Drosophila melanogaster: one gene and its partner. Changing the gene in region 1 together with any one later gene gives a genetic interaction. Each region holds a gene or a part of one and is shown in the gene's direction. Other genes may lie near its edges.

What was found. Genes that interact genetically often act in the same process or in processes that back each other up.
Region 2: of pnt (region 1) and B-H1, changing one suppresses a phenotype caused by changing the other (phenotypic suppression), as found in Drosophila melanogaster (one study listed by BioGRID).

The regions. Positions count from the first base shown.
Region 1 is NT_033777.3:23,342,616-23,349,485, reverse strand, and holds the start of pnt (pointed), read left to right. Parts: upstream 1-3,318; 5' UTR 3,319-4,088; intron 4,089-6,870. Other genes in the region: PolE1 (DNA polymerase epsilon subunit 1), read right to left, coding at 1-974, 1,037-1,163, 1,225-1,295.
Region 2 is NC_004354.4:17,395,970-17,401,204, forward strand, and holds the start of B-H1 (BarH1), read left to right. Parts: upstream 1-1,508; 5' UTR 1,509-1,724; coding exon 1,725-2,547; coding exon of another isoform or gene 2,548-2,552; intron 2,553-5,235. UniProt on the Drosophila melanogaster protein: B-H1 and B-H2 are regulated by members of the wg signaling pathway; wg and dpp. B-H1 and B-H2 are coexpressed and functionally required in R1 and R6 receptor cells and primary pigment cells for normal eye development.

The DNA.
Region 1 (6,870 bases):
CGTAGCTTGGAGAAGCCAATCTCTTGCTTCATGTCCAGATCGTACACTGCAGCACGCGTCTCCACGAAGGGCCAATCGAAGAAGTCGCCGTTGTATGTAACAATGATGTGGGGACGCACCTCCATGATGTGATCGAAGAAGCGCTGGAGCAGCTGCATCTCGTTCTCTTCGTTGAATACTATAAAGTTACCCTCGAATTCCGGCTTGGGAGTGTACTCAAAATCGTCCACATTGGATGATATAATCTCACGATTGGTTATCAGATAACCCTGACCATCGATCATGTACGAGATCATCATAACCTGATCCGTCTGGGCATCGGGAAACTTAAGGGGCAGCTTAGTGGTTTCTATATCAAAGGCCAGGACCACGGGCTCGGGTCTGTCCAGAATATCCGGTCGGCAGGTGATCGTAGGCAATTCCACGCCACTTCTGCACCTGATATTGTACCACTGTCCACAAAAGATGCGCAAATCGATGGACACTCTGACGTGGTAAGGCACATCATGCTCCCTTATGTCCACAATACAATCCATGTAATCCTGCTGCCTCTTACCCAATGTGGCATCCTCGGAACCTGCGGAGGATTGGGCCAGCGAGGTGGCCAGCATTTGCATGTAGTATGTGTTGGATTTCTGTCGCTCCTGATTTCTCTTCACCGCGGACATGAGTTCCCTTCTAACCTTGGTCATGGCTGTCTGATTGAGAAACGAAAGTTTTATGTACTGCTGCTGCAAACCGGATAGATGATTGGGCAGATCCAAATCTTCTTTGGTTATGTGCTCCAGTCCAGAAATCTGGCCGGAATACTTGCGACCCAGAAATCGCGCCACTTCCAGATGCATATTATCCTCTGGTCGGATGAGTAAATATGGCTGATAGGCCACCGTGCATTTGAAGCGGGAACCATCCATTTGGATGAAGAACAGGTCCAAGGCAGCAATCAATCTTCTGTCCTCATCCAAAACTTCGTTCTGCAATTGGCATAGCCATTATTGGACATGATTTTCAACGTTTTATGGGCTTCCTAACTTACCGAATGCATGTTGATGAGGTAGCCCGTCCGCTCCTGGCTGTCCTTAACCCGATCGAAGCCATATTTCGAGTCGATTTTATCGTTCTCCCGGGATTGACGATAGCCCGCCTCATTGAAGAAGTCGTCGCTGTGGATAAGATTGGAAAATATCTTGTTCAGCGTGAAATTCACGAACTTTGACCACTCACCCTTCTGTGCGATTCTCGCTGACGAATTTACCCGTATTTTGCAGCACTTTGCCTTTGCTGGAGTCGGACATTTCCGTGCTGTTTAGCAGAAATAAAATAAATAAATGTAAATAACTTGTTGCCGCCAAAAATCTGCAAACGTCTCAGAAATGTGCTAACGCGTTGCAGAGAATGCTGACATTTAGCTGTTGCACAGCACTGTAAAGTAACACGTTTGGCGCCAATTTCAAAATGTTACTACAAATAAAAGAAAACAAGAAAATTATTAAATGGTTTTAAGAATATAAGTTTTACCTAGAAATCCTCAATTATTCTTAGCTTTGTAGTTCCACCTAACACAAATTAAAAAAATAATGCTTAAAATCTGATGAAATCATAAAATATAATATTTATGTTTATTTCATCACAGCTTGACCATTTTAGCTATAATTTTCCTGTAATGGGCATTAAATGCCCTATTTGCTGACAATTTAAGGACAGCTGCTGGCCAATTGAGTTGGCCTGTTGGCCATGTGTTTTCCAACTGCTGAAATGTGAAGTTTTTTCTACTAGTTCTCCGCTGCAATGGCATCATGCAGTCACGCACACAGGCGCATTCATTCATAAAAATCCGGCTCACCTACACGAGTTGTAAGATTCCAGCGCAGTGGAGAGAGGGAGAGAGAGTGGGAGAGCGGCGCGCATGCGCTCTTTGAGTTCTTTTTTTTCGCTTGCTGCACTTGTCGCCCCCTTTTATGTTTTTCAGTTTTACCTCTGCGGCAGCAATTAAGTTGCAGCAGAGGTTGACAATCAGCCATATTTTTATTGCACGTGTTTCGTTATGCAAGGCTGGTTAAGTTTTTTTTTTTTATGTGTACATATACGCTCCCTTGGCCGGGAAAATCGGGAACGCCATCAAGTTTTGTTATCCCGAATCTTATTGCCCTTTTTCTGGGTGCAGCTGGCCATTTGACTGCCGCCCCTGCACTTGCATTCACTTATGCTGTGTAATTTGTAATTTATGCGAAATGCGTTGCCGGAATATAAAAACATTGCAGTCGTTTCAGTTCCATATCGCCGCTCTCTGTCGCACACACTCTCCGCACACATAAACCTGTTTGTGTTTTTGATTTGCGCGAAAGAGAGAGAGAGAGAGAGCCTTTCGAACGCACAGTGGTTGTCATGGTCACGGTGGGAAAATATCGCGCTTAACTTTTTTTGGGGTGTCCAAAAGTATTTTCCCAAGCTGCAGCTTTCCCACATTGTGTGCAAACTTTAATAATGATAATAATAAGTTGATAATTTAATCTCACATCAAAATTTTCATATAGGTATTATTTCATATTAAATAAATATTTTATTAATTATTATAACAAAGAAACTAGTATAATTTTCCTTTTAAATAAGCTGGAACTGATATTTTGACCAATTTACTTTATTTGTCAAAAATATAGATTTGTATAAAATCCAGAATCAAAATAAATAAATTTTTATATCAGTGTACACAATTGAAAGACTGAGACTGCCAAATTTTAAAATATTTGTCTTTATTATTCCGCCCCCTTTGCATACTAAATATTTTAAATATACTAGTGATTTTGGGCACTGTTTAAATGCTTGCCAAAAACGATCGCCCGCACACACACACACACACACATACACGCACCCACACACTCTCTCGCATATTCGCACTTACACTGAGTTCTGAGCAAGCAGATTTTTTTTATAAATTGTTGCTATTTTTTTGTCGCTGCAAACACTTTGTTTTTGCTGCTCGAAATATGTAATTCTGATTTCCATTTTTTTCTTGCGCTCATGATGCACGCTCTAGTGCGAGTGCGAAAGAGATAGCGAGATTGAGGATCACCCACGCCTTTTCGTTTTCATTCCAGCGATCAAGTAAAATAGCGAATAATGTTTATAAGTCAGATTGATATAACTCTCGATTTTCATATTATTTGCCATTTTTGTTATCACTTGCCAGAGCAACACAAAAAAATATTAATCTTAGCAGCGGAGAGAAAGAGAGAGAGAAACGGAGAGAGAAGGTGCGTCGGCGTTGGCGTCAACGCTGCGTCTGCGCCAACGTCGGCGTCGCTGCCGCCTGTTGCCAGTCGGTCAGTCTGTTTTTGTCTTTCTTTCGGGAAGCGTGCACTTGCGCTACGGTAAATTCGATTTGAATGAATTATACGAATCAAATAACAAATAAATAACAAATGCAAAACACTTTGCAAGCCAAGCAAAAACCCAGTGTGTAAGTGAATGAGTGCAATAGCAAAACATCTAAAGATCTGCGCGCGCAATATACATCAAAAAAAGGAAGGCAAACAGCAACAGAAAAAAAAACGCGGTTCAGAAACACAGGAAACCAATTTCTATATACGAAATTCATCATAAAACCACAAAAATCTCCTCAAACATCGCGTGAGAGTGCCTGAGTGTGAGTGTGCGCGCGCGTGTGTGTGTTTGCCAGCGATCCGTCGGCCTTTTTTCGGTTTGTTTCTTTTCGCGTCTTATAAGCCGAGCTAAACCGATCCCCGATTTCTTCTCGAGTTGTTCCTTTCGGTTTTTCGTTTGTCTTTGTGCCCGGCACGTAATCCCTCTCTCTCTCCCCCTAATCAACCTGCTGATCCCACCGGAGGGTTAAAACATACACATCTATACAGCGTGATAGAGAGAGAGAACGAGCAAGAGATAGTCATCGGTGCTGCGGAGTCCATCAAGATTGTGCGCCTAATTTGAAGCTGTAATTAATTTGGATACCCTAATAAAAAGCCAACCGAAAGACGGTCTTTAGAATCCAGAACCCACAAACCAAAAATCAAGAGCCCAGTAGCCCCCGCCTTCTTGTTCACGAAGGGGCGCTATTTTATTACCCCGCACCGGTAAGAAAAGTGAAGTGTTGAAAAACAGTAGTTCAAGTATTAGTTTTTGTTATTTTCCCTACACTCGAAACAAAAATCCAGCGAAAATTAAAAGACAAAACAATTGAAAACAAATAATAAACCATATATCTCTTAATTGCTGTTGATATATAGTTTTGAAATATAACTTTTAAATCATATTTATCTTAAAAATATGAAATTTAGAGAGTTTCTTTTGAGTGCATGTAAACCCTTTTTGTGTTGGTGTTGCCTGTTTTCTTGAATGAATCTAGGAGAAAACTGGTTTGGCTACCGCTCGGTAGATCCGCCGATCTCGCGATCTCGCCTCGATTCAGGATTGCTGCCTCTATAAACTCGTTGTTGGCCAGGCCAACAGAATTTGAATTGGTTTTCTACTCGGCATCATAGCCAAGCTAGTTAGCCGCCAGTGTGCGTGAGTGTGTGTGTGTGGGGCACTTCCACAACCCTTGTGGGAAACACGCTCGAAATTACTACTGTTCCTTTTACAGCTTCCGGTGCGGCAAATGAGCTTCGCCTGCCCCACGATCGCGTTTCGGGCCATCAATCCAAGGGGTTTGGTAATCGAGAATGTGTGAACGGTTTTTGGTTAGGGTCAAGAATCTAGCACAGCGATCGCATTAGACAATTAAGTATCAATAAAACTGATACCGGAGTGCTACTCTTTTGACCTTTCGGTTTTAAAGTATGTATAATTGGGGCTTTCCTGTTCTGCACTTTGGGTTACCTGAAAGGGTTTTTAAAAGGATCTTACAATTTGGGATGTAAATTAAAGTAATTATTAATACAAAAAAGATCAAAGGATAGTTAAAGGCTTAACCGATATCATATTTTATAAAAATGTTACCATTAAAATGATTAATTTTACAATAAGATTTTGCTTAGATCAATTGTTATTATTTCTATGATAAAACTTGATTTACGTCCTTATCGCAGTCTTAAAGCCAAAAAACGATAATTTAAGGAGTTACGATCATTGAACTACTCTAAAGACATGTTTAATATCCCTTGGGCTATTTAAAAAAAACCAATTTGCGAGCAAAATACACAAGGGAATGATAAGAAATTATTGCCATAATCGATAATTTGATGTGTGACGATCGTCGGATCATAATTGAGCCCAGCTACCGCCAACCGCTCCTCTCCCTTTCCCTCCTCGAGCGTCTGGTCCGAAATGAAAGACCAGTTCAAGATCCTTTTCCATAAATACCCACAGACAATTACAGTTCAGTGGATGTTCGACGGGCTGGTTCGTTGCCCCATGCCACGTTAAACTCGGATTCTGTGCCCGGACCGATGCTAAAAGTATCAACCTGCTGCAGACAGGCCGAGATCAAGATCGATCCCATGACAAGACAAGACGACACACTCGCACAGATATGCCACACACACAGATACTCCGCACACATAGATATTCCGCACACACATGCAGTTCGGACTGTTCTGCGACAGATAGAACAACACATGTGTACACAGGCAGGCATCCCGAGGATCATCAGCGGATCGGAGATCCCTTCTTTACATTCAGCGCGAGGAAAAAAGGGCCAGGCGCTGGGAAAGAAAAGAGCAGCGACTAAATGTGTATTCTACCGTTACGTACACATCGAAAAATTGCACCCCTATTTGTTGCCGCTGCTGGTGTTTTAGTTGTTGCTGTCGTTGTCGTCTGGCCGAGGAGTGCGCACCATATCAAAAGATCATATTCGTTTACAATCTGTTCTTTAAGCATCTGCTGCGCCCAGACTCTCCTCCAGACATCAAAAACTCGGACTGCCAGACATCTTCCACTCGTTTGGTCCACTTACTATGGGCCAACCCAAAAAATTTTGCTCTTTTCCAGGGAAAACATATGCTCCGATTTTCGTTTCAATTCGATTCGTGTGGTTTTTTGTTGTCGCCCTCGCTCTCCCTCATACATACGTATATATAATATTTTATTTTATTTTATTTTTTTTTTTCGGTTCGGTTATCTACGTGTCGGGGCGATAAGGTTTTTTGTTCAGATAGTTTTAGCGATTGCGACTCGTTTTTGGCACCCTGCCGAATGATTTTTGGTGCTCGAAATGCTGCGATTTGAAGGCGGTTTTTGAAAAATGTGCCACTTTCAAACTTACGCATTTGTTCCTCGATTTTCCCTCTGGACTTATCTGCATTTGAGGAATTTATTTTCATATGAATGATTGATTGGTTTCAAAAAAAAAACTGTGGAATTCGCGAATCGATAAGGACAATTGTCAAGTCACTTTTAATTAATTGACTAAATAAACCCAAATTAATCTCTGCCACTTGGAGGCACAAGTGTTATTCGCACTGGCTTATTTACTTAGTTAATCTACGTAGTATGTGCTTTTACGATTATTGTAATTGCTGCGACGATCGCTTATTTTCCTTGTCTTCGGAAAATAAACTAATTTCATTCACAATTATGTTAGCTAACTTTTTATTGCCAACATTTTTCGAGTGACTCTAGGAACTGAAATATTCGCATTTGCCTTTTGCCAAAGCCAAAAATCAATTGGACTTGCCAAAAGTTGCCAATTATCTTGGCCACTTTTATGCGTCAATGAATTATTTTCGTGTGAAAAGTGCACTCAGCACTGCTGGCATATTCAAAATCATATGCAGTCGAGATCTATATATATATATATCCACAGCTGAAAATGCATATAGATTGTGTGCAGATTTAGTAATGCTGCTGTGGTTTCTGTTATTGCTGTTCTACATTGAATTGATTGCACTTGGGGCGGCAGAAAAACTAGGAGGC
Region 2 (5,235 bases), on another chromosome or scaffold:
TTCGGTCCTATGTCTCTGTCTTATGTCTTTGTCTTTATTTTTTGGTTTTTTCAGTGCCAAATTCTGGGCTTACTTCATTTAAATATTATATTTTATAACCAATTCGTTTTTAACTTAATATACTAAACTAAACTTCTCTCAGTGCTGACATTGCTGGCCGAGTGCAATTATTTTAAGCATTCAATTGGCATTGGCAGTTCGAACTCGAATCGACCGCAGACCGCAGGATATACGACTGGGCTGGCAATTATATGCATTTAAGTGCAATAACCGTCATCAGGACGAAGGACTCGGTTGACTTTTCCTCGCATTTGATGCTCCGGCAGACGCTAATTATTTTAATGCGCTCCGCAATTGAAGCGCGCGCTTCAGTCCGCTTTACCCCCGCCCCCGGCGCCCTAATTTCCCCGCCACTAATGACCTTCGCAGGTCACCTGACCTTTTCCCCCTTCCGCTCATGGTTCTCTCCAGGTTGGTTCAGTTCCTCGACCGGAATCAATATCAATCAAACGGAAACCGCCGCTCTCGACAAATTGCATTTGTTCATCCCGCTCCGCTTCCCTTCCTGCAATTAGTCCTGGACTAACATGTGGCCACCGAAACAACCCAAAGGTGAGCCTAACCACCGGGCTATTGGCGTGAAATTTTAATTGCCATCTTGTTGTCTGAGAGCGTGGAATCGAAAAAAGCGACGCCCAAATGTCGGGCGTATAAGGTTTTTCGACTCAAAAATCGAACAATTTGGTGTTAATTGAAGTTCTAATATATAAAGCAAACACATTTAAGGAGCTCTTAAAATATGTCAAGCCAAATGGGACTAAGATTATTTTTAATAAATCAATGATAAAACATGATTGATAAAATTGTTTACTGGCTTGACGTTATTCGCAGATTTCTAAGCGAATATATATAAAAGTATTATAATATTCTTATGTGATGGGAAAGACAGATGTTTTGACATTTCGGAATTGAAAAGTTTTGGTAATTTATGTCTTAATGGTCTAATTGTTAAAGCAGTGAACATAAAGCAGAGTTAATATTTTTGGAATAATATTTTGTTCACAAAGAAGAGTACTCTTCACATAGTAATGCAGTAGCATCGTCTCCATCTCTCAGATCCAACTAACTTCCTCGTAGCGCCATTTTAGGCCTTTTTCAAGGCCCTGAAGAGCTCAAGAGCGTTTGACCGACATTTGGTGCTATAAAAACCGAGAAACCGGGGAGAGACTTTATTTCACCACGCCGTGGTGGATTCACCACGGTGCCGGCAACATGGCGCTGCGCGAGAGAGTGACAGCCGATGAGACGGCGAGAGCCGTGGAAGCGAGAGGCAGCGAAAGCGAGCGACTGGCCATCCCCCTCCGGCCTTCGGTAGCATATGCGGCCCAACCACCGCCTATGACAAAGTGGCAAAATTGTTGCCACAGCCGCCGCTCGAGCCTCAGCCGCAGTCGGCGTCGGCAGCAGCGTTGGCAGCGGCGGATCGGGCAGGTGCGTTTCATAAACGTTCAGTCTCGTTTTGGCAGCCAAGCCGCTCACGACGTCGCTGGGTGAAAAGTTGAGATAAGGCCAAGAAAACAAAAAAACAAACAAATAGAAGACAACTTGACATCTATAGGAAACTCCAGTGAATGTGAATTTTTTTAGTGAAGTGTTGAAAGCAAATATAATTCGTATAAATAATCGGCAAGAAAAGGGAGAAAGAGTGAAACCCCCTAAGTCCTATGAAAGACTCGATGAGCATACTCACCCAAACGCCCAGCGAGCCAAACGCAGCGCATCCCCAGCTGCACCACCACCTCAGTACGCTGCAGCAGCAGCACCACCAGCACCACCTCCACTACGGCCTGCAGCCACCGGCGGTGGCTCACAGCATCCATAGCACCACCACCATGTCCTCCGGCGGCAGCACCACCACCGCCTCGGGCATCGGTAAGCCCAATCGGTCCCGCTTCATGATCAACGACATTCTGGCGGGCAGTGCGGCGGCCGCTTTCTACAAGCAGCAGCAGCATCACCAGCAGTTGCACCACCACAACAACAACAACAATTCGGGCTCCAGCGGCGGCAGCAGTCCCGCTCACAGCAACAACAACAACAACATTAATGGCGATAACTGTGAGGCATCCAATGTTGCTGGCGTCGGTGTGCTGCCATCTGCCCTGCACCACCCACAACCACATCCGCCCACGCATCCGCACACACATCCGCATGCGCTAATGCATCCGCACGGCAAGCTGGGGCACTTTCCACCCACCGCCGGCGGCAATGGGTTAAACGTGGCTCAATATGCGGCGGCCATGCAACAGCACTATGCCGCTGCTGCTGCCGCGGCTGCTGCGCGCAACAATGCAGCTGCTGCTGCAGCCGCCGCTGCTGCCGCTGCAGCTGCTGGTGTAGCCGCACCACCCGTCGACGGGGGAGTGGATGGCGGGGTGGGGCTGGCGCCACCGGCGGGCGGCGATCTGGACGACAGCAGCGATTACCACGAGGAGAACGAGGACTGCGACAGCGGCAACATGGACGATCACAGCGTTTGTAGCAATGGTGAGGTGAGCCTCTGTACTATGCGGGGGGTGGGGTGTTGGCGGCATTAGAGGGTGGTGGGTCAGTATAGCATTCTCGCTAATTCTCGAAAATGCATTTTCAAGCAGGAATTTTCTTCATTCAAAACAAGTTCGCAATGTTTTATAAACAAATATTGGGTCGAAATAGAACCAATTATCAACAAATCTGATTAATGTTGAGCCTTATGATAAAAAATATTCAATATTCAAATTATCCAAGTCATTTTAAAATAAAGCTATCACTGCCTGGTGCTAAGCTTATAAAGTACATATCAGATATTTTTACAACTCTACGACCACTTGCCTTTTTTTTTAAACAGTTGTCCAGATTGTTTTGTAAAGCTAGACACAAAACATGCAGATCTGATAAGTTTAATATTTTTTAATTTGAACGCAAATTTTTTATTAATGATATTGATATTGCGTTTTAGTAACATATTCCCTTTAGGTGATATTAAATATATTTGCACTTAACCAATTCTCAAATGTAGTGAGTGTAAAGGCAGTCGTAAAATAAAATTACTCAAATTCCCCTTTAAATCGTGTTAATGGTTCTGTTGTGAAACGCATTTCATCATAGCCAATTGAAAAAGTAATTCAATTAGGTAAAAAATAAGTAAGTCCGTTGTGCAGCAGTCAAGTTCGTTGCCTAAGTCTTTTGTATTGAAGCGTGCGCCTGAAATGGGGGCTAAAGTGTGGAGCGCGGGGGTGGGGCGGCGGCCCTCGTCGATGTCGCTTTGCAAAACAAACTGTAAAAATTATTGCATGACCATTTTACATTCTCGTTCTTGTTGCTTCTATTTGTTGTGGTTTTAGTTGAAAAAAAAAAATACTTTTTCACGCTTTGTTTCCGTCATTGCGAAGCTTCTAAAGTCCCCTTGCCTCCTCGCCCCTCCTCAAACTTGGGGGCATGCACCTGCGAATCTGAGAGCTATTATGGCAGAATGGAGGCGTGGCTCGCAGTGGGCGGGGGGTTGGCGGAAGAAGAGGATCTGCCTGAAATGCAACAACAAAATGCAGTTTAAAACTGCCGCAGCCGCAGAAAAAATCTCAAATAATTACACACATCGCACTCACTGTTCCCCGCTTCGCCGCTCGCTCTGCTTCCTCCTCCTATCTCACGCACCTGCCCCCTTCGCAATCATTTAATTGTGGAAATTGTTATAAAAATGCATTTAACCCGCTTTAATAGACGCCCCATGGCAATGGCAGCCGGGCAGCAGCAAACGAAAAAATGTTGCAGTCTGTTTGCTCATCTCATCGCCACTCGGTTCGTTTTACTTCGCTTTTGGCCAGCTTCTCATGCGCTCCACTCCATCTGGGCCCTGTTTTGTGCCATTTATTGCCGCAATTTCCTGTTGCCAATTGCACTTTTATAAACGGTAGTCGCGTCGGCCAGCTCTTTTGGGATGACAGCCAGCGGGCAGGGAAGGCGGCAATCCGTCAATTCATTGGAATTTCACAATTGCGATCAGCTTCAGTTACAAAAAAACCAAAATGAATATTGATCACTAGATTTTATTTATAAATTTAATGAAAAATCATAATTATAATAATAAAATCAGATAGGAAAGTTAACTTTTAAAGCTTATATTTGAATTATAAATTTGTAAAAAAAAAAACAAATTAGGTTTTTTTTTAACAACACTGTCGCCCAATTTTATTTGGCACATAATTCTTGATTTTTGGTTTTGCCTTTTTTTTAACGCTCCACAAATTATCGCCCGCAAATCGATAATTCAGCAAGTCGGCGCCAACATTCGTGAGTAATTTTCTTTAATTGCAAATTAATTTTATTCAATTGCGGCATTATCGCTCATTTATCGCTGCCATTAATCATTTATCGTTTACGTTTTATATGGTAAACAACTTTCGCCTTGGCGGCAAAATAAGCTCTTGATTAGCGATGATTAATAGAAATAATTAGCAATGCATCTTTATTTGCTTCATATTTCAAAGTTCAATTAGAGGCATAGCTGGATTTTCAATAAATAAAATAATATTGACTTCTTGGTATCTCATTATCAATAACAAAGATTGAGTCCACTTATTTAATGGATCGTGCAAAATTAAAATCTTGAAAAGATTTTATTATTGTTTGTCTGCTTCCTGATAAATTTATATGCTTAAAACAACAAAAATATGCTAAGATTGTTAATTTCCCCGTTTCTAGGCCTTATTAGACCAAATTTAAATGCGGCACTTGGCAAGTTTTCGCTTTAAATAATTTAACGCTTGAGAGTTTACTTAGCCCGCGTCAACCCCTTAACCCCCTCGTGCCCATGGGCCAAAAACTCGCTCTCGCTTATCGGGTAACCACCATCGGTTGAATTTACATAAATTTTATGTACTAAATGGCTGGCCAGAAAAGGTGGAAAAGCGGCCTTTTCTGGCCAAGAACACTTTTCGCAAAAAGGGGTGCTTTGGCCTGGTCAGCTTGCCTATCTCTCTTGCGGCTTTTTGTGGCAAGTTTAGACATTTTGCGGCACGTTTTTATTACACTCACACACACACGAACCGCTTTGTGAGCGGAAGCGGCAATTGCGTGGCCATAAACGAGCCTCTAACTGTATCTGCAACTGTTTTAATAGATCGCACAGAGATCTAAATCGAATTAGCCTTATGGGCATACCAAATCACCAACAAATAGTGATTTTCGGTAAACCAT